4 linked regions of the Astyanax mexicanus genome follow. The protein of the gene in region 3 binds, or shares a complex with, the protein of the main gene of each other region. Links are inferred from orthologs where the notes say so. Each region holds a gene or a part of one and is shown on either strand. Other genes may lie near its edges.

Evidence for each region.
Region 1: tmem67 (region 3) and b9d2 share a complex: the UniProt entries of both Homo sapiens proteins name them as parts of the tectonic-like complex. The link is inferred for Astyanax mexicanus from reciprocal best matches to the Homo sapiens genes TMEM67 and B9D2.
Region 2: tmem67 (region 3) and tctn1 share a complex: the UniProt entries of both Homo sapiens proteins name them as parts of the tectonic-like complex. The link is inferred for Astyanax mexicanus from reciprocal best matches to the Homo sapiens genes TMEM67 and TCTN1.
Region 4: tmem67 (region 3) and tmem216 share a complex: the UniProt entries of both Homo sapiens proteins name them as parts of the tectonic-like complex. The link is inferred for Astyanax mexicanus from reciprocal best matches to the Homo sapiens genes TMEM67 and TMEM216.

The regions. Positions count from the first base shown.
Region 1 is NC_064424.1:5,646,546-5,654,559, reverse strand, and holds the start of b9d2 (B9 domain-containing protein 2), read right to left. Parts: upstream 3,011-8,014; 5' UTR 2,779-3,010; intron 765-2,778; 5' UTR 759-764; coding exon 671-758; intron 532-670; coding exon 406-531; intron 1-405. Other genes in the region: diablob (diablo, IAP-binding mitochondrial protein b), read left to right, coding at 4,374-4,411, 6,718-6,847, 7,908-8,014. UniProt on the Homo sapiens protein: Component of the tectonic-like complex, a complex localized at the transition zone of primary cilia and acting as a barrier that prevents diffusion of transmembrane proteins between the cilia and plasma membranes.
Region 2 is NC_064427.1:20,757,807-20,764,972, forward strand, and holds the start of tctn1 (tectonic-1), read left to right. Parts: upstream 1-4,143; 5' UTR 4,144-4,189; coding exon 4,190-4,514; intron 4,515-5,446; coding exon 5,447-5,564; intron 5,565-6,383; coding exon 6,384-6,517; intron 6,518-7,166. Other genes in the region: pptc7b (protein phosphatase PTC7 homolog), read right to left, coding at 2,603-2,804. UniProt on the Homo sapiens protein: Component of the tectonic-like complex, a complex localized at the transition zone of primary cilia and acting as a barrier that prevents diffusion of transmembrane proteins between the cilia and plasma membranes.
Region 3 is NC_064408.1:110,661,441-110,668,398, reverse strand, and holds the start of tmem67 (meckelin), read right to left. Parts: upstream 3,022-6,958; 5' UTR 2,998-3,021; coding exon 2,802-2,997; intron 1,132-2,801; coding exon 1,043-1,131; intron 950-1,042; coding exon 859-949; intron 1-858. Other genes in the region: rbm12ba (RNA binding motif protein 12Ba), read left to right, coding at 5,981-6,958. UniProt on the Homo sapiens protein: Required for ciliary structure and function. Part of the tectonic-like complex which is required for tissue-specific ciliogenesis and may regulate ciliary membrane composition.
Region 4 is NC_064417.1:38,790,586-38,797,962, forward strand, and holds tmem216 (transmembrane protein 216), read left to right. Parts: upstream 1-4,359; 5' UTR 4,360-4,578; coding exon 4,579-4,603; intron 4,604-5,765; coding exon 5,766-5,779; intron 5,780-5,896; coding exon 5,897-5,990; intron 5,991-6,080; coding exon 6,081-6,173; intron 6,174-6,585; coding exon 6,586-6,787; intron 6,788-6,968; coding exon 6,969-6,984; 3' UTR 6,985-7,268; downstream 7,269-7,377. Other genes in the region: uncharacterized protein matr3l1.1, read left to right, coding at 1-165, 333-453, 551-570, 899-1,021, 1,478-1,606, 1,686-1,808, 1,894-2,024, 2,144-2,444 and 3 more. UniProt on the Homo sapiens protein: Part of the tectonic-like complex which is required for tissue-specific ciliogenesis and may regulate ciliary membrane composition.

The sequences.
Region 1 (8,014 bases), on a different chromosome or scaffold from region 3:
ACTGATAGAAAGGGACGTAACATGATAAGTGGAAGAAGTTACATTAGAGAGTGAACCAATCACACAACCCTACGCATGGCACAGGGAGAGGATAGCTTACACAACTGCAGCGAAAGCTTATTAGAGTCCATTTTAAACTAAACTTCAGACCACATATTTCTAGAGTACTAGATATTGGTACCAATTGGGACCAATTTCAGGCTCAATAGCATGTCTCCTTTTGTTTATTTATATTTACAGTTGATATGCTAATAATCAATGATCTGTGGAGTTGAGATTTCTTTTTTTAATCATCATTTTTTCGTGTCTATGTGGGTTTGTGTGTTTCTATAATGAATATCTTTAACTATTAAATAAAATAAAACATTAGAAAAAAAGAATACCTGACTGAAATTTCACTCATACCTTGAAGGCCCTTAGTGGTGTAATGCAAGTCAATAGGATGACTCCAGTAAGCTGTGTCACCTATCTGGGGCATGTCCACTTGCGTCTGTCCTTCCTTCAGTCCAGAGAGGAGCCTCCATGCTCCTCCTGATGGGCAGATTGAGAGAGACACAATGAGAATGAAACTAATCCAGGTTTAGATTCATGAACAACAAAAGCAAACACCTTGCAACCAAAACTAAAAAGATTGGAGGGATGTGAGATAAGATTAGAGACGATTGGATACCTGTGTGAACACCCCACTTGCAGAACAAACTACTCTGAGGGAAACCGCTGGCCCCGACAATCTGTCCGATTATGTGCAGCTCTGCCATAAGACTCTGCAAAAGATTGGAAAATGAGTTACATCTGAAGATTTTTTTTATATAAAAAAGATGAATAAAGGAAAAGAAAGAAAGAAAGGCAAAAATAATAATAAAAAAATACATACAAAAAGACATTTTTCTTATTATAGTATAAAATAGGTCTGTAGTGTGAACCAGTTTACAGTAGACACTAAACAGTAGGTTGGAAATCAGTAATTAAAATGATAGTACTAATCAATCAGCTAACTAATATCAACATAATATACCCCACAATTCACAACAGCGAAAATGCAATAAAAATAAATAAATAAAATGAATAAATAAAATAAATAAATAAAACATAAACCTTACAAAACTGTTTCTGAATTTAATTATATATCTGATGTAGAATATCTTGACAGCAGATCCACAGAAGAAAGCAACAGTGTAATCTAATAAGTCAGCTACTCTTTCTGTACATATGGAAGTGATTACATATATATGAAGAGAGCCAATATATCCATTAAACCCACAACTGCTGTTCTAAAGAGAAGCATGCGATTACATCTCACTCAGATTTCAGAAAAGAGCATTTCTTTTCCATCCTATATTTTAGGTTTAGAGGAATTTAAATCTAAATCAGTGACCTCATGATTCAGTCATAGTGGTGTTTATTGCGATTCTCAACTGGTGGGTCAGGACACGGACACGTTCTGGGAGGGTTACAGACAGCTTTATAAAAAAGAAATACATTTAAAATATAAATTAAATGAAAAAATAATTCATGCTGATCTGATGTTGTACTGTCCTTTATATTGAGGAAAAAGAGAGAGTTTCTTACTTATGTACTCAGAATGCAGAGATATGCAAAGAAATTAAATATCTTATTTTGTGGGCTTATTTTTTGTTTTGTGCAGTTTTGATATTTAATTTTATTGCAGTAACTTTTAAAAATGTAGTTGTCATGTTCCTCCTCAGTTTCTTCTTTTTTAGAAAATGCTCTTAAACTCACTTTGCATGCATATGTATGTTTAAATGGGTATGTTAAAACATTAATTTGTTTGGTTTGTATTCTATAAAAGTGGGTCACAACTTAATGACCACGAGAAAATGTGGGTCCCGGGCTCAGACCAGTTGAGAACTCCTGAGCTAGATAACTCACTAAATGGTCATGTTAGTCAAAAATTGTTTAAACTACATAAATGTAATAAAAATACTAATTTAATAAAGAAATATGAATAAAGTCTGATTTACTATATGGAATATGGAGCTAGTTTTGTCAGGATAATTATATTATGGACACCATATGTTATTATATTATTTTGGCAGATCTCAACATTATCCCTTTCTGAAAAGAAATTAGGATTAGGATCCGATAAACTATATTTTTCTTTGAAATGAAAATCTCCATTTACAATGCTGTGTAGTCCAAGACTAGGCTTAATCCCTGTATGTCACTGGGAAAACTGCATTGCTTTTCGATAACATGAACGAGCAGATTTTAATATTTAATATTTTTTAAAGTATGCTTAATTAGTTTAGGATATTTTGGAGAAACAAAATAAAAGACCACTTAAAATGATGAGTTTCTTTGATTTTGCCAAATTGAAAACCTCTGGAATATAATCAAGAGGAAGATGGATGATCACAAACCATCAAACCAAGCTGAACACCAAGGAGTAAAGGCATAAAGTTATCCAAAAGCAGTGTGTAAGACTGGTGGAGGAGAACATGGGAAGATGCATGAGAAAACTGTGATTTAAAACTAGGTTTTTTGGTTATTCCACCAAATATTGATTTCTGAACTCTTAAAACTTTATAAATATGAATGTTTTCTTTGCAGTATTTAAGGTCTGAAAGCTCTGTATCTTTGTTGTTACAGGTGATTCTTAGCGTTAGCTCACTTTGGCTAGGCTAAGGCTAAGCTAAACAGGTAGCTTAGTCAGAAAACTAGCTTAACTAGCCTAGCCTAGCTTATAAAACACAGCCTATCTGTCTATAATAATATCTAAGCTATCTGTATTACCACATACAGTGAGGAGTATAGTACCAGCTCACCACAGGCGGATCATTCAGCAGAGATCTGCTGGAACACGGTGCTGTAGGTAAGTTTATGTGGATCAGAGCGCTAATCCTGAGCTCAGTGTTTACACTGCTCCACACAGCCCGTCTCCAGCCGCTCCTTCCCTTAGTAACGCGCAGACTCTCTAATACACAGAGCTCCCACTGTACTACTGACAATCTGCTGCGGGTCTTTACTCAGACACCAGAGGGCCTTTAAAATTAATACTTATCTATTTAGGGTAGTTTATATCTGCTAATCTACTTTTACTTGGATTGCTATACGGAGCCCCTAATGTGACTTCATGTTAAAATGAAAATCAATAGGTTTTTCCTATTTAAGACCAGCAGCTAGTTTGGGACCAAGTCTCAGCTAACCAACCAATCAGCACATATTAGCAGCAATGCTAGCGCCTTTCAATAGGAAAACACGTTTATTTTATAACAATAGAAAAAACACAGGTAAAGTTTATTTTCTTGTTTAGTATATTCTTCAATATACTTTCTAAAATCAAATTAATATCCCGGATAAGTAGTTTTGCACTCTGTTTAATTTGAGTTTTTAGCCGTTTAGCTCCATTCACCCCATTGATTGAGGATTCACTCGCGGGCTCCCCCTAGTGGTTAGACGTATTTACTGATAGAAGTATAATAGTGGGGCGTCTCGCTCTGTCTCGCTCTCTCTGTTTGAATCTGTGGCAGGAGAGATGCAGCTCTAAAGCTCTTTGCTGTCGCCTGCTGTTCAGGACCCATTGTTTTATTATTATTTTTTTGTATTAGAGCTATATTAATAACAAATACAATTTAAACATTCAAGGACAAAAAATAATGGTACCAGCAATCTGACATATTAATATAAGAAAGTTACAAGAAATTATCAGGCAGAAACAAACCAAAAGAAATAAAATATAAAGAATATAAAAAGAAAAATGAATAAAAAAAATAAATAAACTAAATTAATAAGAAATAAGCCAGAAAAAAAGTATGACCCGTGCTTTTTTTTAAAACAATACACAATACACAAAGTCTTCCTGGTTTATTTTTAATTATTTTTAATTATTTTTTTTTTATTATTCTTTCTATATATAAATAAAAAATAAGTAAAAAAGACTTTCTGTAATGTTCACTTCATGTAAAATCGCAAACAAATGTGTATATATGATGAGAATAATGTATTAAAACTTCATGTTTGTATATTTTGCTAAGCCTGCAATAAAAAATAAATTAAAAAAATTCCCATACTAAAAAAAAATATTTTAACTTTAATAAAATACTTTTTGTGAATAAGTTGTAATTAAATTGTTCAATCAGTATGTTAAATTTGTTTTTTCAATATCAAGAAAAAAACTATAAATACCGAAAAGAACAAATTATTGTTTTAACATATGTTTTGTCCTCCACATTGCTATTTAATTCGTTATATTACACAGTCATATAGATGAACGACTTATAATCATCAAATTCAAATAGACAAATAAAAAATAGAACTTTTCTTTAGTGTGTTTGTATGTTATGTTCTGTGTGTCCAGGGGCCGCTGGGGGCGCAGTTGAGCTGTGTGGTGTTGTGTTGTGTTAAGGGGAAACATGGCGCTGTTCAGGAGGAAGGTGCTCTCTGTGGGCTGGTAGGTTTTTATATTTTCTCTTTTTATTCAGTTCAGCTTTTTAAAATCAGTGAGATCACAGTGTGCTTTAAGAGTATACACATTACAGATAACAGATACGGCTCAGTTATTACTGGCTGGGCTCCGGGCTGTGCGCTGTAGGGCAGAATATTCCTTCTTCCTATTTAGATAACCTACATTAAAGCTTATTTATACAGATTTTATATACTAATCTTCTTCAGTAATATCTTTATATTTGTAGATAGGGATTTCCTGCACTGTTTGTTTTTCAAATGAGATATTTTATCTATAGTTGACATTATTATTTATTGTGAATATTTTTAATTGTTAATAATTAGTAATTAATTAGTAGTTTAATCATACCTCATTGTAACTGAGATGTATGTATCTAGAGTTGAAGGAACTATCTATAGTTGTATTGCTATTGTTTTGTATTACTGTGCTGTATTGTGTGACTCCTACTGGCTTCTGTACTCTACTATACTCTACTGTATTCTACTCTAATCTGCTGTCTATTGTACTCTACTAAGTACTCTACTCTATTGTAATCTTCTGTACTCTACTGTACTCTACTATACTCTACTGTACTCTAATCTGCTGTCTATTGTACTCTACTAAGTACTCTACTCTATTGTAATCTTCTATACTCTACTGTACTCTACTATATTCTACTGTACTCTACTCTAATCTGCTGTCTATTGTACTCTACTAAGTACTCTACTCTATTGTAATCTTCTGTACTATACTATACTCTACTGTACTCTACTCTAATCTGCTGTCTATTGTACTCTACTAAGTACTCTACTCTATTGTAATCTTCTGTACTCTACTATACTCTACTGTACTCTAATCTGCTGTCTATTGTACTCTACTCTATTGTAATCTTCTGTACTCTACTATACTCTACTGTACTCTAATCTGCTGTCTATTGTACTCTACTAGGTACTCTACTCTATTGTAATCTTCTGTACTCTACTGTACTCTACTATACTCTACTGTACTCTAATCTGCTGTCTATTGTACTCTACTAGGTACTCTACTCTATTGTAATCTTCTGTACTCTACTGTACTCTACTATACTCTACTGTACTCTAATCTGCTGTCTATTGTACTCTACTAGGTACTCTACTCTATTGTAATCTTCTGTACTCTACTGTACTCTACTATACTCTACTGTACTCTAATCTGCTGTCTATTGTACTCTACTAGGTACTCTACTCTATTGTAATCTTCTGTACTCTACTGTACTCTACTATATTCTACTGTACTCTACTCTAATCTGCTGTCTATTGTACTCTATTAGGTTACAAATCTGATGAAATTCTTGTGTTTTTTGTATTTTTATCTCAGTTAGAGGTGTGCATATCATATCATATCGTATGCAATAATACTATTTTTCATTTTGTTGCAGAGATGTATTCTTTAAATATATATATTTTTAATTGAATGTTTTGTCATATCTCCAAGAGTATCGTTATCGCGAAAATACCATGAAATATTGTGATATTATTTTAGGGCCATATTGCCCACCTTTACTGCTGGCTACTGAACTGTACTATATTTTACTGTACTGTACTGTACTCTGCTGGCTACTGTACTTTACTAGGTACTGTACTGGGTACGCAAATCTACTGTACTCTTCTGTACTCTACTGGGTACTCAACTGTACTGTACTGGCTGCTCTACGGTACTCTAATTTACTGCACTGTACTCTACTACTGGCTGCTCTACTCTACTGATCACTCTACTCTAATATACTGTGCTCTACTCCATTCTACTCTGCTCTACTGGCCTCTCTGCTGTACTGTACTATACCCGACTGGCTGCTCTACTGTACTCTACTGGACTGTATTTTACTTTAAAAGCTCCTCTACTCTACTCTACTGTAGTCTACTCTAATGCTAATGCATTGAAACAATGTTCATTTCACATGTCAGAATGTATTTATTTGTGCACATCTATTTTATGTTGATTTAAAATGTATTCCACGTTATAGTTGTACATGTATTGTTTATATTAAACTTTACTCACTTTAAATATGTATATCTTACTCGTATTCTATTACTATTGCCTGTCCTGTGTTGATTCTGAGTGTAATAGAGCCCCAACTATTTAAAATAATAAAATAATTTAAAATAATTTTGATTCAAAGTCAGTATTTCAACACAACCCAATGCCTATTAGGCATCGTTAAATAAAGGTTGTTTTTCCATCATCAGCATTAAATGAGGGTACACTCGTGTCTTTATGCTTATCTAAGCAGTGTTTGAACTGAAAGTAAAGACTGTTTTCTCTTTTGTTTTCAGTGTCGCAGCGAGCCTGCTGAGCACCACCAGCAGAGCCTGCCTCAGACTCGGCAGACTGCCGACTTTAATTAGAAAGAACTGCATTACTTTAGGCGTCTCTGGAGGCCTGTGTGCTGTTCCCTTTTTGCAGGTTTGATGAAGCCTCATGATTGAAGTTTTGATAATACTCTTTGAATTACAAGAAGTGGTAGATAATGATATTTTAGTTGTTATAAACTAAAATTACCATTATAACAAAAAAACTAATTTTTTTTTAGTTTTAAAAGCTAAAGGATTGAAAGTAAAACACACGTCTTCATCTTTCAGTAGGCTTTTACTGGCTGCACTTGGGTGGTTAATATATCAATTATAAATATATATTTAATGCCATGTATCTAAAACAGGGGTGTCCAATTTTTTTTGTTGGGGTCCAGAAGGAGAAATATATTTGAAGTCAGGGGCCACAGACTCTATAATAAAACAAATAATGAAATATACCACTTTAAATAATACTTTTTTCCTGATTACTTTCATTTACACACCATTTTACTTGACTTACTATCTTTATCTTTGACAGTGTTGTGTAAACTAAGATTTTTCAAATTGATGTTTAATTTCATAATGTCTCTTAATATTAACTTTTAGACTCTTTGACCCGTTTTTCTGCGCTAGAAATGCGCACTCTCTCCGCTTTTAGACTCTTTGCCCTGTTTTTCTGCGCTAGAAATGCGCACTCTCTCCGCTTTTAGACTCTTTGGCCCGTTTTTCTGTGCTAGAAATGCGCACTCTCTCCGCTTTTAGACTCCTTGCCCCGTTTTTCTGCGCTAGAAATGCGCAACCTCTCCGCTTTTAGACTCTTTGGTCCGTTTTTCTGCGCTAGAACTGCGCACTCTCTTCGCTTTTAGACTCTTTGGCCCGTTTTTCTGTGCTAGAAATGCGCACCCTCTCCGCTTTTAGACTCTTTGGTCAGTTTCTGACACCTAGCGTTCAAACTTAGAATCTCACATTATAAAAAAATTCCTCGCGGGCCGCTCCAAAAAAGGAAACAGGCCACAAATGGCCAGCGGGCCGTAGTTTGGACACCCCTAATCTAAAATATATGGAAAGTGTAAATAATATGATTTTTTTTCCACCTGTAATTGTGATCAGAAATGTATTGCTTTGAATAAGACAGTCTAATATTTTGGCGTCTGTATTGTGTGCATGTACAGGATAACATGACCCATGAAACCCTGATCCGTAGAGCATCGTCTCTGGTGACCAACAGTGCCAACACCTACCTTTCCCAAACTACACTGGCCTTACTGGATTCTCTCAC
Region 2 (7,166 bases), on a different chromosome or scaffold from region 3:
GGATTAGGTACTGGCTATTTTAAGTCAGCTCCTGTTTCAGTCCTTAGCTTTAATAATTGCTTTGTTGGCAGAGCTCCCTTTGGCATCCTCCAGGCACAATCAAACGTGCATTATTCTTAGCCCCAGAACTAAAAAAAAGTGTGTTCACTGTTACCCCAGCATTGTAACATAAGGCAAATTAAATAAATTATATTTAATTACTTTAAGTCATGGTACAATGTGTTTGATACAAAACCTGTATCTTAATAATCAGATAATCAGACAGACAGACAAAATAGACTGGGGAAGCTGAACTGGGGGGTGGGGGGCCTTAAACAGCCGGCTTTTTCGTTCCCCCACATGGCTCCATAACAAAGGAAACTTGAGCCGGAAGCTACACAAAAGCCCCTTTTGTTCCTGACTGCATTTAAAGAAGCGCCAAGATAAAAGTCACCATTTTAGTTCTTATTCTGCTAAGTATTTGTACATATGTGCTTGTAAAATAATAATACGTATATGGAAAATATTTGCACATTAAAGATAATACTATAATACACATTATTTTTACCAGAAGTGGCAGAATAACTCCTATTCAGATACTTTGTCATGCATAATCCAATGATTTATGTTAAAACAATTGCTGCACTTTGTTCAATTAAACAGATTTTTACATTCTTTCTTATAAAATGTACAGTACAATCAGTGCTCTTTAATCAGTGATGACTCGATAAACATATTGTTGATACGATAAAAGAATGTATTGAGCGACCCTTTATTTCACTAATTGTATGCATGCATATGTGCTTGGTTTAATAAACATGTGGTTGTTTATTAATATAATAAAGGGGGGTTATTTATGCTTAATTTTGATCTTTGTTTTGTACTAATTCACATTAAAACATCCCTTTAAACAATCTAAGTTTGGACAGGATATGGCTGTATAATGGATAATGCGTCTACAATCTTAATAAAACGTCTGTACATATAATTATGTTTAAAGATGGTTTATGCTTTCCCTTGTTTTGTATTAATTCACCATAATACATAATTTTAAACTATATAAGTGGGATATGATGGGTCTGAATAAGATAAAAGGTGTCTATAATCTTTATAAAAAGGTCTGAACATGGAAATAAGCTCTTTTAAAGGCTCATTTCTTAATTCACGAGCAGCAGCTGGTGGATGTGCGCATGTGCGAGCCTGCAACGTGGTTGAGCTGTAATATGGCTGCCTCCATGCTCAACCATTCTGACCTTTACGATACAAAACACTGCAAAGCTCTTGATAAAAAGCAACCACGCGCTTCTACAAAGTTCGACTCGAAGATTGATAACGATATCTGAGCATGCATTTAGTTTTTAATCCGGTTTTAATAGTGGATACTCCTGTGCAATCCGGGTTATTAGCTGTGTTTACAAATGAAGTGAGTAGATATGATGCTGGTATAGCAGCTTAGATCATTAAAACTAATAAATACGCTGTTTAGCTGAGTGTTTCACTTTATTAAACTACCTAAATCTTAAAATTATCAAGCGTGTTCACGTTATTGTGGCCGCAGGGGCTCGTGCTGGATCTCTAGGTATCTAGGTGAAAGGTCACCTCCTACACAGGCTGCTCACTACACCCTATACACTGCACCCTGCACCCTCAGCCATCTGCTTGGGGATAGTTTTACCAAGATCACTAGAAACCTAGTTATCTGGCTACATCTTTTGTGAATAAACTTAAAAGGTGTATTAAATGGTTAAAACAAAAAAAAAGTAAGGTTATTTCAGGTGAGGGTGATTCCTGCACATACACAAACACACTGAAAACACACTGTGTGTGTATGTGTGTGTGCTAGAGTGTGTGTGTCTGTTTGTGGTGCAATGCAATGCTGGTGGCACTTTAACCCTGAAGGTCAATCATCATTCTGTGAATGACCTTAGCTATAATGGCTGTATCTGAATGCACTATAATACTATGCAAATATGCTTAATGTAGCTTAAATACCAGCTGTTTACAACTAAATATGACTCATTTTAATCAGTAAATGAGAGAGAAGTAAGGCCAGAGTTAGCTAACCTACTTCAAACAGTTACTGTTGTTTTTAGACAGAACAAACTATGTGTAGCTGTTAACCAACAACATTCTCTTAGAAAGCTCTAACATACAGTGTGTGCATTTACTCATTATGTTTTTGTGTTGTGTGTATATATATTTATATATATGTGCTAGTACTACGCACCCAATTTTTTGTTTGTTTGGTTTGTTTCCACTCATCTATACTATACTATTGTTGGGTATTGTTGATGTCACGTGACAATTAAGCTAGTTAATATGATTAAATTTTTTATTTTATTTTATTTAAGCTCGTCTAATTAACACACAGTAGAAGAAATTAAGGTAGCTAGACTACATATATGGTTCTAATCAGCAGACGATGAGAGAACTACCTGACAAAGCTACTGCTGAACCTGCCAATAAACAGCGTAGCTAATTGATTGACATTTGAGTTAATTAATGAATTAGGCTCACAGGTGAGTTAATTGATTGACAGGTAACAAACTAATAAAAGCTGTAGGTGTATAGGAACCTCTGGCAAGTTAAGTAGTTAAGTAAGCAATGAACGCAGTCCACCCACCCAGCACGTCCGCGGACCGGTGGCGGGCGATGAAGCACGCGTCGTCCCCGTAGCACATCCCTTTCTTCAGGATGCCCTTCCTAAAGTCCTTGCCGAAGCCGCAACTGGCCGTGATCAGGCTATAGTCGCGGCCGTCGGTCTGAGACAGTCCACCCAGCACGGCCCTGGCCACGATCCTCCCGTAGGAAAGCACGGACAACATCCCCGCTGTCTCCGCGACGCGCCGCTAACCGAGAGCCCGCGTCCACCGGCAGCCAGCCGCCGGCATAGAGCTCCGGAGCACAAGGTGGAGAGGCAGTCTGTGGAGGAGTCTGCTGCCTGGCTGACCCTCACTCAGCCCGGCTGAGAGACTCACAGCAGCCGCCTGGGAGCCTGGAGGTCTGTCCCCGTATCGTGTTACACCGACTCCGGCTCAGAGAAGTGGAGTCCACCCGCGCCCGTCCTCTACGGTGCTGTCCCGCTTCTGTACTGGTTCTGTCCGGTTCTCCGTTGGGTTTTAAACACTAGCCGGTCTCGCGGTGCTCCCCCACAACCGACATCTTCACGCGCCGCACTCTCGCGCAAACAAAACACCGCCGCGTTCAGGAGCAAAAGTACACGGGACATACGGGTACTCGCGTCACGTGGCTCCAGGCCATCAGAGCGTTTGGGGGCGTGTCAATAAAAAAAAACAAAAACAAAGAAACAATAAAACAATAGTAATATTATTTTAAATAATTTTTCTTTGAAGTTTGTAATATATTACTTTATTACTTTAATTTATAAATGAATACTGGTCATACAGATGTATTAGAGTCTTGCTCTTTGTTTCCTAGGGCCGTCCTGATGAGAGCCAGTTTCATCCTTCTAACGTTTTTGATGGTCGATTTTCGACTGCACTGGAGGATAAAACTTTTTCAGAATTTCTCGAAATTTTTCGGATTGACCGAACTCCATATTATGCAAAGAAATAGTCAAAAAGGGCTATTCACTGTGTACCAACTCTACCTCTTTACAACTGATGCTCTTAAACACATTAAGAGAGCAAGAAGTTCAAGTAATTAACATTTACAAGGCACAGCTGTTAACTGTAAGCCATCAAAAATGTTTGATGTTTACTATTAATTATTAGATTTTTTATTTGCTGATAAAAAGCAAATACACAGAATGTTAAAATTGTGAATATCTAGTGCTCTTTTACAATTACTTTAAAATTAATTATTATTTAATTATAACCATTATTTGTGTCCAGGTTTAGGAGTATTGAGAAAGGGGATGGGGTACTTTTATACAAAACAAAAGTCTCTTATTGTAACTCTATATTTAATAATATATAAATAAGATTTTACATGTTAACGCATAGGTAACGTATAGGTAAGTGTATATGTATACGTTTTTCTGTAATAGATCTCCTTTTTTCCTGGGTTTTAAGGTTTGATTTTTTTGTAATAATAATATGTGTAGCATTTAGCCAAATGAAAATAGTTTTTCATTTTTGTCCATTATATGGAATAAAACATAAAAATTGGCTTTATTACAAAATAAAAGTCCTATTATTCATTTATTTCAGCTTCCTGGAGACGGGCTGCGCTGTGTCGGTTGTTAAGCATGGCTGCGCTGCTCCGGGTATTAATTTTGGCCGGTTTGTTTTGCGGGTTCTGGGCGAAATCTGGCGGATTTAACAGCTCAGTTTTAGACCAGAACCGGACCAGGTTCGGCTGGGATGAGTCTGATAATGTAACGGAGGAGACCGGGGAAGAAAACTACACTTTAGCTCCGGTATCGATGCCCGCAGCGTCTCCAGTCGAGCCCAGCACCGCCTTTCCCGAAACGGAGATTCCAGAACCCACAGCCGAGCCGGACCTAGCCCGGGCCGGCACCGCAGCCCTGCCCTTACCGCTGTCTGGATCCCTACCCGCACCCGTTACCCGAGGTACACACGTATGGGGGAATAAATAGAAGAAAACTAGCTTTTTAGCTAACAGAGAACGTTATGAGAAAGTTTAGCAACGTTTTGAAAAGGTTTCAGGAAAGTTAAGTTAGCCTGTAACGTTTCAGATGTAATATTCCAGGAACGTTCTAATAACGTGTAACATAATAAGTAAATGGTTTGCACCACAACGTGTTAGAACATTTAGCAACGTTTATAAATGTTGAAACGTTGAAAAATAGCATTCCTAAAATATGACTGTAACGTTCAAAAAACGTTATATTAACCAGCATTTTCAGCTGGTTTATCTAGCTAACTAACTGTATTAAACCTTGAGATCTACATACGCAGCCGTAGCCAACTCCGTTCTAACGTCTAAACAACGTTAATGTTGTAAACATAAGCCGACTTCTTTTTAAACAAAGTGATTATAGCAGCTAATTTACGGATCCAAATCCGTAATCAAGACATTGTTCAAGTTTCAGTCCCTGATCTACAACTCCATCCCCAAACGTGTGTGTGTTTCCCAAAGAGTGTAAAAGAGTTTAGAGCTGGGGTGTTAACAACAGTTAGCACCTGTTCGAGCAGGAAAACCTCAGACATTAAAGGAACTGGTCTGATAAAGTGTTAAAGTGAGGGTGTCAGAGCTGTAAATCACCTAAATGTGTGAACTGGTGAACAGTACTGAAGAACAGTAACAGGTGTAAATCAGGGTACTACATAATGACTTAAACAGAATCTGTCTTAAAGGGAAAATCCACCAGTTTTCCTTCTTCTTCGCACAATTCAGTGTTTAAGATAAGTACATAAATAGTTGTAGAAGAATAGCCCATCTTGAATTGGATTTGAAAGAAATGTATAATATATAATTTAGGTTTATTTAACAATGAAGCTTTTCTTTTTAATCTTAATCTGCTGTTGTTGGTTTGGTGCAGTATCAGATCTGTGCCCGTGTGATGTTCAGAGTGATCAGTGTGAGGTGAACTGCTGCTGTGACCCGGACTGCTCTCAGGAACGGCCCCTGTTCACCCGCTGCTCCGTCCAGAAAGTCACGTACGTTAATTTTCTGCTTTGTAGATTAATACTTAAGTTGTCCAAACTATGAGTAAAACTTAATGGAATTATTTAGTAACCCAAAAAGTGTTAAACAATCCAGAATATGTTTTATATTTTACATTCTTCAAAGTAGCACCTCTTGCTTAGATGGCAATTTTGCACATCTCTGCTGGATTTTCTCAGTCAGCTTTATGAGGTAGAGTCACCTAGAATTCAGGCTTTCAGTTAACAGCTGTGCTGAGTTAAGAGTCAAGAGTTAATTACTTGAATTCCTTGCCTCTTAATGTGTTTGAGAGCATCAGATGTAAAGTTGTGAAGAGGTAGAGTTACAGGTATACAGTGAGTAATGTTCTAATCCCTACTATGAGAAGCAAGAACTAAACTAAGTAAAGAAACCAATGAAAAAGGTCATTCAACTGATCTTAAGGAAAAAAAGTATTCCAAGGGCAGTTACTGCAAAGACAGTCAAGTGTTATGATGATTAAATTGACTTTCATCAGGGCCGCCCCAGAAAAGGAAGAGTAAGAGTTTCCTCTGTTGTACAGGATAAGTTCATCAGAGTTACCAGCCTCAGAAACCACAAGTTAACAAACAGCTCCCCAGATAAGAGAATCTAAATGCTTCTTCACAGAGTATTTTGGTTTGTTTAACACTTTTAAGTTACTACATGATTCCTTATGTGTTCCTTCATAGTCTGGATCACTTGAAAAAATAAATATATAAATAAAAACATAGAATGAGAAGATGTGTCCACACTTTTGACTGGTACTGAATAACTGATTATATTTATATGAACTTTGATGTGTGTTTGGTCAGTGGAGACCCCAGACTGTGCACTCAGGATGCAGCTCTGTACTCCCTCCGCACCACAGCAGAGGGGTTTTCAGCAGTGCAGACGTCCGTCCAGCGCCAGATCAACCCTGATGTTTTCTGTATACAGACCGCTAACTGTAAGTACATCTCAACCAACCAGAGACACGGTGTATGGATAACCAGTTACAGAATAGATAGTTGTACTATATACAAAACATGTCAGTTATTGCTTGGTTTAATAGTTTTAAATATATCTTTATTTGATTGATTTGCTAATAAGTCATATGAATTCAAGATCCGTATTAAAAATGATTCTATATTATACAATATGTTACATTACATTGCATTTAGTGGATGCTTTCATCCGAAATGACTTACAAATAATGATGTACATTTAGCAGTAGAAGACATAGAAGTCCAAGGCAAAAAAAAAAAAAAACTTTAGCGGCTTTTGATTAATTCTTGTAGCAACAAAATATAACAATGCCAATTAATTTTAATTATGATTAATAATTTAATAATTTTATAAGTTATTTTGCAACTGATAAAAAAAAAAAGAGCTGGTAACTCTGATTAACTTTTCCTGTACAACAGAGGTCCTGATGAGTGCCAGTTTCACCATTATAACGTTTTTGATGGTCTTTGGGTGACTGCACTTGAGGATTATTCAATGTTCGAACTGAAATGTTTTGGATTGGCTGACGTTCATTATTTATTTATTTATTTATTTTTCTTTACTTAGTTAAGAAGTTCTTGCCATAATATGGCAAATAGAGCTATTCACTG
Region 3 (6,958 bases):
CATTATATTTAGAGTTTTCACAATATTGCAAGACTAATAGACTTTAGGAAGTGCTGATATAACATAAATATTATTTTACTGTTTTAAGCATGCTTTTACTCATAATGGATTCATATGTTTCTTTTGCCACATAATGGCTACACTGTGACCTTGTACCACAGCTAATGTTTAAATCACAGCATCAGACAGAGACTGCATGCATTTAGGATATAGGAGTTGTACAAGCAGGAAACCCTTGCTGTCAAAAACACAGATTATAGTGTTATAGTGCAGATATTTATAAAAACACATTATGCACTTGCACCACAGAATACAACACCACTGAATACAATATTGAAGGCTGCTCTGATAAAGATAAAGACAAGCCTGAAACAAAATAAAAGAGTCCTCCAAGGCCGAACCTTTTCCTCTGTCTATTCAAATGTGCTCCTCACTGACATTCTTTCACGCTGTGTGTATTCAGTGTCCTGTCTGTTCTACACTGGTAAAAAATAAAGGGTCCATTATGTGATTTTAATGTGCAAGTAAACCCTTTTTTTCTAGTCATGACATGTTGCATGGCTATGCATATTTTAGGGATGCACCAAATATCCGCTTAATTAGATTATTTGATCAAACACAACAAAAATACCAAATAATGTATATCAAACATCAGTGTGCTTTGTTTGTATGTCTTCTGGGGTATTAAAAATGTTCAGCTTTAAGTTTAAAAAGCAAGATATAATAAGGATTTGAAATTAAACCACAGTATAAGGTATTTTAATGTTGACATCATAGAACAGATTTAACATGGGATCAAGATGTCCACAAGTAGCCATCATGTATTGTTAATACGTCTGTTCGATCTAAAATACTCACCCAGGATTTTTCCTTCAGGACACTGACATTTACCATCCTCCCCCACAGCGCTTGGACACTGGATACACTCGTAACCATCCTGACTAACACCCTGCAAAATACAGCCGGGTTATTGTTTAACTGTCTAAATGCATATTATAAACATGGTAATATATTTAAAGACACAGAGCGGACAGATTAATACCGGTTTTGAGTCAGGGCACTTTTGACAGGTGACTGATCTTCCATTGCTGGTTAGCACCTTGAAACCTGTCTGACACACGCAGCTCAACCCTGTGTCAGAGCACAAACCTCAGGTTAATGATAATAAGCTTAGTTAAAGTTAGCAACAGCTCAGATCGCAAGACCCTACAGCAGATGGAGGACAGCCCTCCATCACTGACATCTACACCACAGGCTGCATCCACAAAGCCACCAGCATTGTAGAAGACCCCACCCATCCCTCACTCTTCGCTCTGATGCCGTCCGGCAGAAGACAATGGAATATCCATGCCTCCACTACCAGACTCTGCAACAGCTTCATCCACCAGGCAGTCAGACTCCTCAACACACAAAGACGGAATTGACCCCCCCACCCACCAAACAGCCACAAACTGACTATTGTATTGTTGTTCCATGTTGCTCCATGGTTCCGAAGGAATGTAATAAGGCATGATATGGTGTAATAACAAAAGATTTGGTTTGTTGCCTGAGGCAACACTATGCCATAAAGCAGTGGTTCTCAAACAGCTGTCTTTTCAGCTACAGCTGTATTTTAGCAAACTTATAGACTGTGTTATATCTGTTTTATTGCTCTTTTATATTTGCATTGTTCATTGTAATCTTCATGTTGTTTTTTAGGTGGACAATTTCAAGATCTGTCCAGGGACAACGGATGAAAAATAGCCTTTAGGCTAATTCTGGTGCATTTACAGTAATGTTAATGCACCAGTTGCTCTTCAGCGCTTAAAAAGCAGAAGTTCGCTCCTTCAGATGATTTTATCGCCGGATGCCAGATTGGACCTGGCCAAGGAGATGATGACAATATAAAATGCAGACTCTGTGCAACGTGTTCTGGAAGCACGTCCACATTACGATGCAGAATTTGCAGTTTCATATAAAACAGGGGTCAGATCAAAGCGGGGCCGAGAATTTCACTGGGGTATGCTGATCGCTTTCTGAGTGTAAATTCTCCTGGCACTTGTCAATAAACTTGTGAGCGTTGGAACATCACTTTTGATCTTGAGAGTCTTCATTCTCCATACAACGAACACGCAGGACTCAGGTGTGGTAAAGAGTTCCAGTCCAACAATATTATAATAATATAATTGTTATATATTATCTACTAGAGACAGATTATATCTGTCCAGTATAATTTATTTAACTTTAATCCTGGATATATGGAGATATATGGAGTGCGTTATTAGTATCATGACATTCTGGATCATTGACTTCTGTTACAAATCTGCTAAAAAGTTTTAGGGGTGTGCCATATCATATTATATGCAATAATAAAATGTAATTTAATTTTGTAGTAGTGTATGCTTTATTTTTTTATTCAGTGTTTTGTCATATAGCCAACAGTACGGTTATCGTCAAAATACCATGAAATATTGTTGTGGTATTATTTTAGGGCCATACCACCCACCCCTACTTGTAAGGTTTAGTTTGGCCATAGAGGGTTAACTTCACTAACGTTAATCTAGGTAACTAGGTTAAATAGTTAGCTATGCTAGTTAGCTAACTATCTAACAACGCCATGGTGGTGGTAGTGCTATACAGCCCCAACACAACAGTAAACCAGTGAACAGAAGCTGTATCAGACAGATATATACCCTGAATCTGTTTTATTATCTAAATTAAAAGCCCTGTTCCCTACCTAGCCACAGTTAGCCCGCAGTTAGCCCCGCTAGCTCCTGCTGCTGCTGCTGTTATTTAGTTAGCGTTAGCTGGGTTAGCTCTACCTGATTTCCCGCTGATTTGATTCGCTCCACACTTCGCGCAGGATAAACTGGATATATCGAAATACCCCCCGGGACCGCAGTCCGCCGGCTGAGAGAAAGATATAGAGAACTGCTCGCAGAAAAACGGGTTAAACTGCAATAATATGAGGAAAAAGCAGAGGAAAATAAGCGGTGATTGTAGCGTCCCCGTCGCCATGGTGCAGAACAAAAAGCCCCGCCCCTTCCGGCGATAAACACTCCTTTCCTCTCCCAGTTAGTTCAGTTATACAGCTCTGGAAAGAGATAAGAGAGCACTTAAAAATTATGAGTTTCTTTGATTTTACCAAATTAAAAACCTCTGGAATATAATTAAGAGAAATATGGATGATCACAAGCCATCAAACCAAGCTGAACTGCTTGAATTTTTGCACCAGGAGTAAAGGCATAAAGTTATCCAAAAGCAGTGTGTAAGACTGGTGGAGGAGAACATGCCAAGATGCATTAAAACAAGGGTTTTTACTCCAAATATTGATTTCTGAACTCTTAAAACTTTATGAACATGAACTTGTTTTTTTTTTTGCATTATTTGAGGTCTGAAAGCTCTGCATCTTTTTTTTTATTTCAGCCATTTCATTTTTTTTTTTTTTTTTTTTTTGCCAAAAAAGCTCTAAGCTCTAAATGACAATACTTTTATTTGGAATTTGTGATAAATGTTGTCCGTAGTTTAGAGAATAAAACAACAATGTTCATTTTACTCAAACATTTACCTATAAATAGCAAAATCAAAGAAACTGATTCAAAAAGTAAAGTGGTCTGTTATATTTTTTCCAGTGCTGTATGTTCCAGTGATGGAAAAATATAAGGATGCTATTTTCTGTCCTCAATCTCTGTTTAGTCCTTAATATATAAATGAAACCTAATGAACTGAAATATGCATTTTTTTTTTCATTCATTGTATTTTTTTTTAATATTTGATATTAACTGTATTTTTATACCACAAACCATCCCTAAATAGTAAAATAAACTATTGCGTTGCATTTATTTTTTATTTATTTTTTTGCTGTAACTTTTGGTAGGACAGTAACGCAATTTCAATTCACTGTATGTCCTGTACATATACTGTTCTGACAATAAAACTACTTGACTTGACTATGCAGGACTCAATAAACAGAATATACTCCCTCTTTTTCCCTCCAGGCCATAAGACTCTAAGTACAGCAAACTAAAAACTCTGTGACACTTTTTCATTCTGGCCACTATGGTCATTCCAATGGACATTGTTATGTCTTCTTGTCCTTCCAGGACTTCTCTTTGGGTGTTCTTGGACGGTTGTCTTTCTTGAAATAATACTCAGTGCACACTGCCTTCTTAATCGGAACAAAATATTTTGTTTCAATCAGAAGCAAAGTGTGGGAGAGAGCTTGTCAATTCTCGGTGTCCCAGTTCTCTCTCTCTCTCCCAGTCTTGTGTTTTGAACAGCTTATATACTCTTTCACAGTCACTTATATGGTACTCTGCATACCTAAAGAATTCCAACCACCCTATTTACAGCTTCACCATATATATAGAAATGACCTTTTGAGAAGCGGTACGTTGTTTACCTGAAACCACATGTGACATTCCAACATGTATAGAATTCTCAGAAATAGTTCAGCTGGACACATGAACCCATCTGGGCTAAAGGCTAGAAGGGACAAACATGCATAGTACAGAATACAATCAACATATCCCCATCTCTGTGAACACACCTTCTGATATGCCCTGTTATATTATTTTTTTATAGTTTTATCCCTTTTCTGTACTAATAGTTTATTTATTGCCCACTGTTTACATCTCTACAAATTTGCACTGCTAAATTTAATCTGGGTATAACACATCTGCGTTCTTGCACTGTTTGTATGGCTGACATCAGTTTTCACATCAACTGGTTTTCATTGTTGTTTTACTGTTTTTAACTGCACTACCTCCATCATTACACACAAACTAAATAAGACTCTACTTGTTGTATTATTATCTGTATTATTATAGCTTATCCTTCTTTTGTAGCTTCTGAGTACTGTATATCTGCTATTGGATGTGTACTGAATTTCGCTCTGGGATCAATAAAGCATCTATCTAAAATAGAAAATATATCAAATATACAGAATAAACTAAAAATGCATATACTAAATATACAGGGATATACAATAGTGAATATACAGAATAGAAAATATACTAAATATACAGTAATATACGAAAATAAATATACAAAATAAACTAAAAATGCATATACTAAATATACAGTGATATACAATAGTAAATATACCGAATAAAAAATATACTAAATATACAGTAATATACGAAAATAAATATACAGAATAAACTAAAAATGCATATACTAAATATAGAGTGATATACAATAGTAAATATACAGAATAGAAAATATACTAAATATACAGTAATACACGAAAATAAATATACAGAATAAAATAGAAAATATCCTAATTATGCAGAATAAACTTAAAAATATACTAAATATACAGTAATTTACAAAACGAAAAGCGCATAATAAAATAGAAAATAAACTACATTTTAAGAAATATGATATTATTATTATTAGTAGTAGTAGTATTAGTATTATTCACACAGTAATATTAACTCTGTTTCTTTAAAAGTTCGTAAAGTTTATTCACAGTTCCATTGGCTCTCCAGACACTGTTCGCCCCGCCCCCTGCAAAGCCTCCTCCCCGCCTATTGGCTGTGCACACTTCCTGCCGCTCCGCCCCTTTAAAAGTTGTGTGGAGAGAGCGCGCTGCCTCTGTCTGAAGCACGAGGCGTTAGGTTGAGGCTGAGCTCGCTGTGAGGCTTGTGAAGCTTGTGAAGTGAATAAACGCGGGTGTTTGGAGCGCGGTTTAAGAGTAGTGTCCGTTTTTTCAGGAGAACTGAGAGGTGAGTGGGGTGTGGAGGAGCTGGCAGTGAACCGTTTTTCCTGTTTCTGTGTTTCAGAGCTGCTGGTTCTTCTTCTGCTGCGGAACAAAGTAGGGGGGCAGGAGGCTCGTGGGGGCTGCGGTTCAGCTACACGGGGCTGTACCGCGCTGTGTGGCGGATTAAACTGCGCCCGATGCGGTTTCTGGGTTGAAATTCTCCTCAAGCTGTGTATTCTTTTGTGTTTTGTATCTCTCAGCAGTGTCACGTGTTCGACGAGGCAGTTTCCCGCCATCATGGTGATAGTGCGGCGTTTGCTGGGCCTCAGTGCCGATGCAGGCTCTGAGGACATTCGCGCCTTCTTCCACGGCCTACACATTCTTGAGGGTGGAGTTCACATCATTGGTGGCAAGAGAGGAGAGGCTTTTATTATTTTTACCACAGAGGAAGATGGACAGCTGGCCATGGAGCGCTCTGGGGAGATTCTCAAGGGATCATCGGTAACCCTTGAGGTTAGCAGCATAGCTGACTTGAAACATAAAATTGAGTTACGCTTAAAAAAGCAAAGAAGCTCAGGAGTGGAAAACAAGAAGTCTGATGCAGAGAGGAAGAAGGAAAAAATGGAGAAAGAGGCGGAGGAGAAGAAGAAAGCAGAGTATAAAAGAAGAAAGCTGGAGTTGGAAAAGAAGGCATTGGATCCAAGGCCAGCACCAGAACCGCAGCCATCAAAGTCACCAACAGACTTGGGCACAGCTCTACTACTGGGCCTAGTGGCTGCTATTCAAGGATTACAGTCAAACCATAACAACAACATCATTATCAACAACAGTAGCAGCAGCAGCAACAACAACCAAGAAAGCCAAGCCCAGTCTCTGCCAGTCAGTTCTCACCCATTACCTGCTTTACCTGAGCCATACCATTCTAAAAACCATACAAATCAAAGAACAGACCATCATACGTACAACAACAATAAAAAGAAAAACTACAACCACAGCTACAAACTGCAGGAAAGCATTCCACAGCCAGTGAGAAAAGTGCATATTGAAGAAGAAAAAGAAGCAACAGCAGCAGCACCTGAGAGAGGTAAGGCCAAGACCAACTGCAACGAGCCTGGATATCTTCGTCTTTATGGGCTTCCCAACAACGTGACCCTACAAGATGTCCGCACTTTCCTCCAAGGCCTCTCTGTGCTGGATTTCATACCAAATGTCTTCCTAGGCCGCGACCAGTGCTGCCTAATAAAGGTGGCTACTTTGAAACAAGCTGAAGAGGGC
Region 4 (7,377 bases), on a different chromosome or scaffold from region 3:
GAGAGCACAGAGATGCCCGAAAAGGCAGAAGATCTGACAGAGGAGCCAGCTGAAACCGAAGCAGATCAAAACCCCACAGAGGAGCACAAAGACACAGATGACCAGGATGATGTGGAGCAGGCTGAGGCTGATCATGAGAATGCTCCAGAGAATTTGAGTGAACTGGTAAGAGAACTTAAAAATAGATTCAAGTTGTACAGTGAATCAGTGTCAGCCTGTGGGTATGCTAGAGAAATGGACAAAATAGAGATAATCAGTTTAGAGAAATCATAAATAATGTTTGATCATTTGTTTTAAATGTTCTTGTGATCTCTCAATATGTATTTTATTAGGAAGGACTTGGAGAATCTGACTTCCCTGATAATATGGATGAGTTTGTGACTCTGGATGAGCTAGCAGAGGAGGAAGATGCTGAAATGCACGAGTCTAAATCCAGGGATAAAAGCTCCTCAGGTACTGTCTAAATTCTGTGATTGTGCTTGTGTTTCTGATTGTAACATTAGAAGGCATGGTAATAGATGTATGCAACTCTTTCTTCTTCTTTTTTTAGGGAGATCAAAGCAGAGCCGTGTAAGTATTCGCTTTTTTCATGAAATTCCTTGAATATATTACTTGACATATATGTGTGATTACAAAAAGTAGTGCTGCTTTTCTGGAAAAATAAATAAATAAGTACATTCTTCCATGAATGTGCACCTAGATAATATATGTAAGTGGTAATCTTTACTGAATGTATAATTCAGTGGCTGATATACCTGTGTAAGTGTATGCTCAACAACTGCACTGTTTTGTAAGTGGACAATGATTTACTGTAATTTGTATGATTTTGAGATTTTTAAAGTTTATGCCTGTGACAATTTGTATTACTTTACTTTTCCTTTCCTAACTTTATTTACAGGAACTAAAAGTCGTCAATGTGGTTGGATTTAGGCGTGGCTATAATTATCTTGATGAGATTCTGTCTTTGGCCAAGCCTTTTGGGAAAGTGGTGCGACATCTGATCCTGAATGTGAGGCCTGAGGTAGGTTTTCTTAAACACACATTCTTTAATCTGATTTTAAATTTTGACAGTCAGAAGTGCGACATGCTGGTCAGGAGCTTTTTGAAGTGGTTCCTACATGTATCTGAACCTAGGAGTTTTTTGTGCCAGAATAGTTGGATTGTGCAGTTTTCTAGTATGGTGTAATAATGGGGGAAAAAAAACATTTTAAAAAGTGTCAGTTATGTCTTTATTACTGAGAATGTTTTGTAGCAAATGTCCAGACTGGCTGCTACCTAGGTGCAGTTGTGGTGAGCAAAAAAAAAAACACTTCAGAATGCAGTAGTACAGCAGTAGGTAATGGCCAAGGAAATAAAACTGAAGCATGTGCATCCCTGCGTGGCCATGATTTACCCATCATCTTCTAACTATATCCAACATATTAATGCACAATGTCGCAACTACTATTTTAACATACACTTTTGTTTTGTTTTTAAGGCCTTTCTTGAGCTTGCTAGTGAACAGGAAGCCAGAGCAATGGTTCGTTTCTACAATGGAAATGTTACACCATCTGTGTGTGGAAAAGCAGTGAAAATCTATCATTCTCATGTCTACCCAACCATCCAGGTAAAAAGGTTTTGTTAAACACATTTTTTTCTCCTTATTTTGACAGTTTTAATGTCTAACACAACCTATTGTCTTCTAGATTGGCAAAGTAATTTATGTTGGACACATTCCGGCCTTTAAAACATCAGATGCATCCCTACTGAAAATTGCAGAGCCGTTTGGCAAAATCAAACGCTACGTTTTAATAAGGGGACGTGGCGAGGTACTGGCTTGTGTGTGATGTATAATAACTTACAGAGTGGGTTATCTATGAAGTGGGTTATATTAGACTTTGTGTTTGATTCTAGTGTTTAATTGAGATGGAGAGGATTGAGGATGCAGAGAGATTTGTTGAGGCGGCCAAAGAAAATCCACCAACGTTTCAAGGCAAACCACTAGTTGTCAATATTAGCAGGAAATACACACAACTCAAACATGGGTTAGTGCTATTTTTTATTTTGTGATCTGTTTAATGCACAATTTTACATTGGTGTTTTGACTCTCTGAGTAGGTGAATTCTGGTGGTGTTTTGTTCTAATACACTTTCTACCCTGGCAGAGGCAGACCTCCAGCCCCAGAAACAGAAGACAAACGACCATCCAAGAGAGATCGCTCTGACGAAGAAACAGCAGCCGAGGTCAGCAAAACTAACAGCAGTAAGGAAGAAGAGCCACCAACCAAGAAGGTCAAAGAGGGAACATCCTGTACAGATAATGTGGAGGGTGTACCAGCAGAGGAGAAGCAGCAGGAAAATGAAAATCAAGCTGAAACTAGCGAGAGTGAAGCTGAAACGAAAATAAAGAACACAGAGGAAAATAGCAGTGATGCAGCTGAAGCTCAGAACATGGAGAGCACATCGGTTAGTTAATTTAGTTTGCTTCGTTTAAAGTTTTCTTTCAGATTACACTTTCAAAAATCTGTGGACACTGCTCTTAATTTATCTATAAACGTGCGCACACAAAGCTTGCCAAGAGATGTGTTATAGAGAAGTATCGCCAATAATAGGGACCGAAGCACCAGTACCACTTTTCCTTTTCCAATACTGCAACGACACCAGATTTTCAAGTATCTGAAGATACCAACCCTGAATTAACTTTATGAAAGGTGCCTATAAATCCTGCTATTTATAGCATTCTATTTGCTCTGATTAGAAATAAGATATATAAATATACACCCCCTCTGAACATCACACACCTGAAATAAGTCTGCACAAACAAGTGTATATCAACTTTCTCCCAGGTGAGATTGTTAAATGGGAAACTTTTTAATAAAGGTTACTTCAGCCAAAAGCAGAAATATCAGCTATTAGGTGATACGTTGACTTCAACCAAGTTTTAGTAATTCAGGCTTTACCTCTCAGTGCTGTTCAAATAAAGCACAAGTGTTCATATGTTTAACATGTTCATAAGACGGGGTTTTTGTGGGGTGTCATTTAACGTGTGAATTCTGTGTTCTATGATAAATGCAACCAAGGTATGTATCTTTCTCTTCTTCATGTAAATAACCTTTTTGGATTTAACTTTTTATTTGGTTGTGCCCTGTTAAGCAGAATGACGATTCTGATGCTACTGTTGTGCCTTCCGGTGTACCTTCTAAGAATGAGGAAAACAGTGAAGGTCTTACTGTTCCTGTGCAGTCTGTGAAAAAAACTACCCTAGACAGTCTGGGGCCATATGAACCTGATGTCCCAGTGGGTAAGCCAACAGTGTTTTCGTTAAAGAACATTTTAATATATTAAATAGAGATTTAGGAAACAAATATGTATAATAATAAATGTATATATGAGGGTACATCACTTTTGGCCCTTTGATGTTCTTGTAGGTGCAGAGTTTGTGAAGATGGGATATTATTGCAGAGTCTGCTTCCTTTTTTACTCAAATGAAGACACCGCTAAGAAGGTCCACTGCAGCAGCCAAGCACACTACAACAAACTTAAGGTGCTTTATTACAGCTAAAATAGCTTTAATTTATCATATGTTGCATGCAAGAATAAAAAATCTGACTTTTTTTTTTTTGTTTTCTTTTTTTTTTAGAAACACTTGGAAAAGGAGAAGGCAAAAGCACAAAGAGAAAATATGACCAGAGAGTAACACTGGGAAGAACTGAAGCTATAGGAGATGATGTCCTTGGTACTATACAGTATTTGATAGTGCATGAGCTGTTAGTGCAGTATACTGATATAATGTATATTATACTGGTATAATGTATTTTCAGTAAGCTGATTCATTTGCCATATTTTTTTCCCCTTTTTTTTATCTTACTAGATCCTAGAACACATTCATCTGCTGTTACTTTCTGTCTTGCCATATTAAAAGTATTCCTTCAACTATTTGCTGGTTGTGACTGATTCAGCACTACAGACATACAATAAAACTTTCATTATGGTCTGTCCCTTAAACTGTTTCGTGTCTGGTTTGTAAAATGTATGTTAATAGTAAAATGTTAAAAGATAATAGTATCACATTCCAGTTCTTTGCTCTTTATTGGGTGAGTGCAGCGTCTAATTACTTTAATGAATAATAGAAATTAGAATACTTTTAGGCAAACAATTGGCCTGGTTTACTGATTAGTGATTGATGTCTTTGCAAGAGGAAATTTTAAAAATAAGGGTTTACTGAGTGTTCTTTCTGCTTGCATGCACCAGCGTGCTGAAATAACCCTCCTACATTAATATATTTAAGATAATTGGATTGAATATAGATATCTTATAATTGTATTAGTTATATTTAGAAGATTTTTGAATTTGGGTAATTGAACACTGACGCAATAAATGAAATCACATTACGAAACATGCTGGTAATTGCATTAAAAGATGTTTCTCAGTTTTACCCCAATTTTATTTTTTCTTTTAAACTGAAAGCGTGTCCTCGTGCGTGTGTGCGCTCTCGCTCTTACGCTGTTTCTGATTGGATGGACTTAAGTCAGACGCTAGCAGGTCCCCGAACTCTGATTGGACAACTGTCCAGTTACCGCCCTAGGATGACGCCGTCTCCATGGTATCCAAAATGGCGACCCACGGTAAGACGTATCCAAGCTGATAGTAACTAGTTAAAGCAGAGAGGCTAAAATTACCGGATAAATATATTTAATATATAATAAACAGGTTTAGGACGAGTAAACTCATTGTTCCGGTCATTTTACAGTCAGATAAACGGCGTTTCTCCCGCTGTTCTGCTGTTATTTTCCGAGAAGACGCTGTTCTTTCTCTCTGTTGGGACTAAAACCTCAAACCCGAGTTTGTGTGAGGATGATGTTGATAATTCTGCTCTCTGAGATAAATCAGGCCTGGAGTGGAAAAGTTTTAGACGGTTTTACAGTTCCTGTTCTAGCAGAAACAGCGAAGCATATCCGAATGATTCTTCTTATCGTTCAGTGAAGCTCAGATAATTACTACACTCCAGTCCATTACACTAAACAAAGCGAAACAAACAAAATATAGCTACACATATATTAGGCAAAATAATCTAAAAGGGATAGAAATATTAATATATCTAAATACACTAAAAGTTATATGGCAGCAGCTGTAATTGCACAGTAGGAATGTGCTGACCCTATATCATATCATACAAAATATTGGGATATGTAAGATTAAAACAGTCCATATTGTGCGCATTTAAGCTTACTAGCTACTGTAATTGTTTGCTCTAAGACATTATTTTTATGTTTTGTTGCTACGTTATTTATTTTGTTAAAAAAATCAACAGTCTTGGTAAATTCCTGTTGTTTGCAAAATAGATGAAGTAGTATGTTTTCGAAATTTTTATATATATATATATATATATATATATATATATATATATATATTATATGAAATTTTATTCATATAATTATCTTGTTTCTCTCATTTTCTTTTTCATTACAATTTAGATTTGTTTATATACTGTTGTATTTGTCTTGCTGTGTTTATTGTTTATTACTGTTTGTAGTACCTAGAGCCTGTTTCTATGTATAAAAAGGTATATAAAAGTAAAAAATTAAGTTATTAGTATAAGTATTATTATTATCATCAAATATATAGAATCAGGCCAATGACAATGCTGCAGTATAGTTCCATCCTCTGCTAATAGTTTGTGGTGCTTAATTTGAGATTAATTTATTATCAGTATTCTGTAAAACTGATTTTTATTTAAATTTTTGTAATGCACTAGATTTTTACATTTTGTTATTTTTTCTCTTCCAGGAAAGCACCCCATTGTATCCTTTTAGTGCAATATTATCTCTTTCCTGCTTGTCTTTCTTTACTCCTGTGTTGTCTCAGGGAAATGAGTAATATAACAGTCTATTATTAGTCTTCTTAACAGAAGATCTCAGTTGTCCTCCACACCCCTGCAGGTCCTCTTTTATTTAAACAGCTGGTATTTTGCTGTGTTCTTCATCGCTGAGATCTTAATGTTTATTTATAAAGGTAAAGTATCACAAGAAGTATTCTGCTCTGATATGTGTATTTTATATTAACAATAATACCATCAAACATACTGTTTTTAATTGTTTTTAGGAGTGTTGCTCCCATACCCGCAATCAAATCTCATACTTGACATTGTGCTGCTTCTTCTCTACCTTGGCCTTGAAACCCTCAGACTGTTTTACGGTCAGTGTACGACGCAGAATTTTATTTCTATATTTTAACACACACTAATAAAAAAAAACTGCTGTAGACTCAGCATGCTGGTATGTCTCAGGCAGGCAGTTAAATTATTAAAGATGAAAAGTGCTTCCCTATAAGATTGGTCTCAGAGGCTACTTTTGGGTAGTGTACTTCTCACAGAGAGATCATTAACTGATAGACTTGCCTCTGATGCACTTAAGTGTGCACATTATTTCTATTTCTATGTACTGTTTTTACTACTAAAAGTATGCTTTCACTCTAATATCTAATTTTACTACATATATTTACATTACATTCACACAAATTTTTCTTGTTTTGTTTTTGTCTGTGAGTGTATTTCAGACCTGTAGCATTTTTAATGACTGTAGGACTTCTGATGTTTCTGTTTTTGTAGGCTGGAAGGGAAACCTGTGTGAGCGCACTCTGACGCTATCCATTAGCATTGGTGTCCTGGTGCCTTGTACTGTGCTGAGTGTCTATTATCTGCTACTACAGACTTTTGTTCTTCGCCTCGAGTTTATCCTCAACGCTGTATTGCTGTGCTTCTATGGTCTGGAGCTGATTCTGGGTCTTATAACCATCTCAGCTTTTGCCAGGTATAACTATGATTTTGTATGACATGAACTGTGCTTTAGCAATGACTTAATTATACTGAACTGTTTCAAATTCAGCCCTTAAATAATTGTTTTTGGCTAATATTTTTACAGCACTTAGACCATGTGTAATGCTAATTCTCATAATTTTTTTAAATGATTATCTTTATGTTTTTTCTTTCAGGGCTGTTGTTTACTAGACCTGCAGGTGCTGATGAAGAACAGTTTTGTGCGTTCCTTGGGTGTTAGCGGATTTTCGGTGTGCCAATGTATCATCACTACATACAGTACATACAGAGTACAGCACTTGGATCTGCACGACTCTGCACACTGCTCCTTAACTGCTGTTAAATATTGGTTATATAATGACCTTTGACTTTATGACTTTAAGTCGTTGCATTTATTTAGTGTACACTTTCTTTTTTGTACAGATAAATGTGGTTTGTATGGTGTCTTTTTGTAATAAAATAAAACTTTTTTTTTTTTGTATTTTTTTCTTGTAAGCTTCTTTTGTTGCCAACTTTGTTTGAATTACTGGAGCTACTCCTTAAATTTAAGTCCCAGATTTACACTGCCCAGTAATTCAGAGCTAA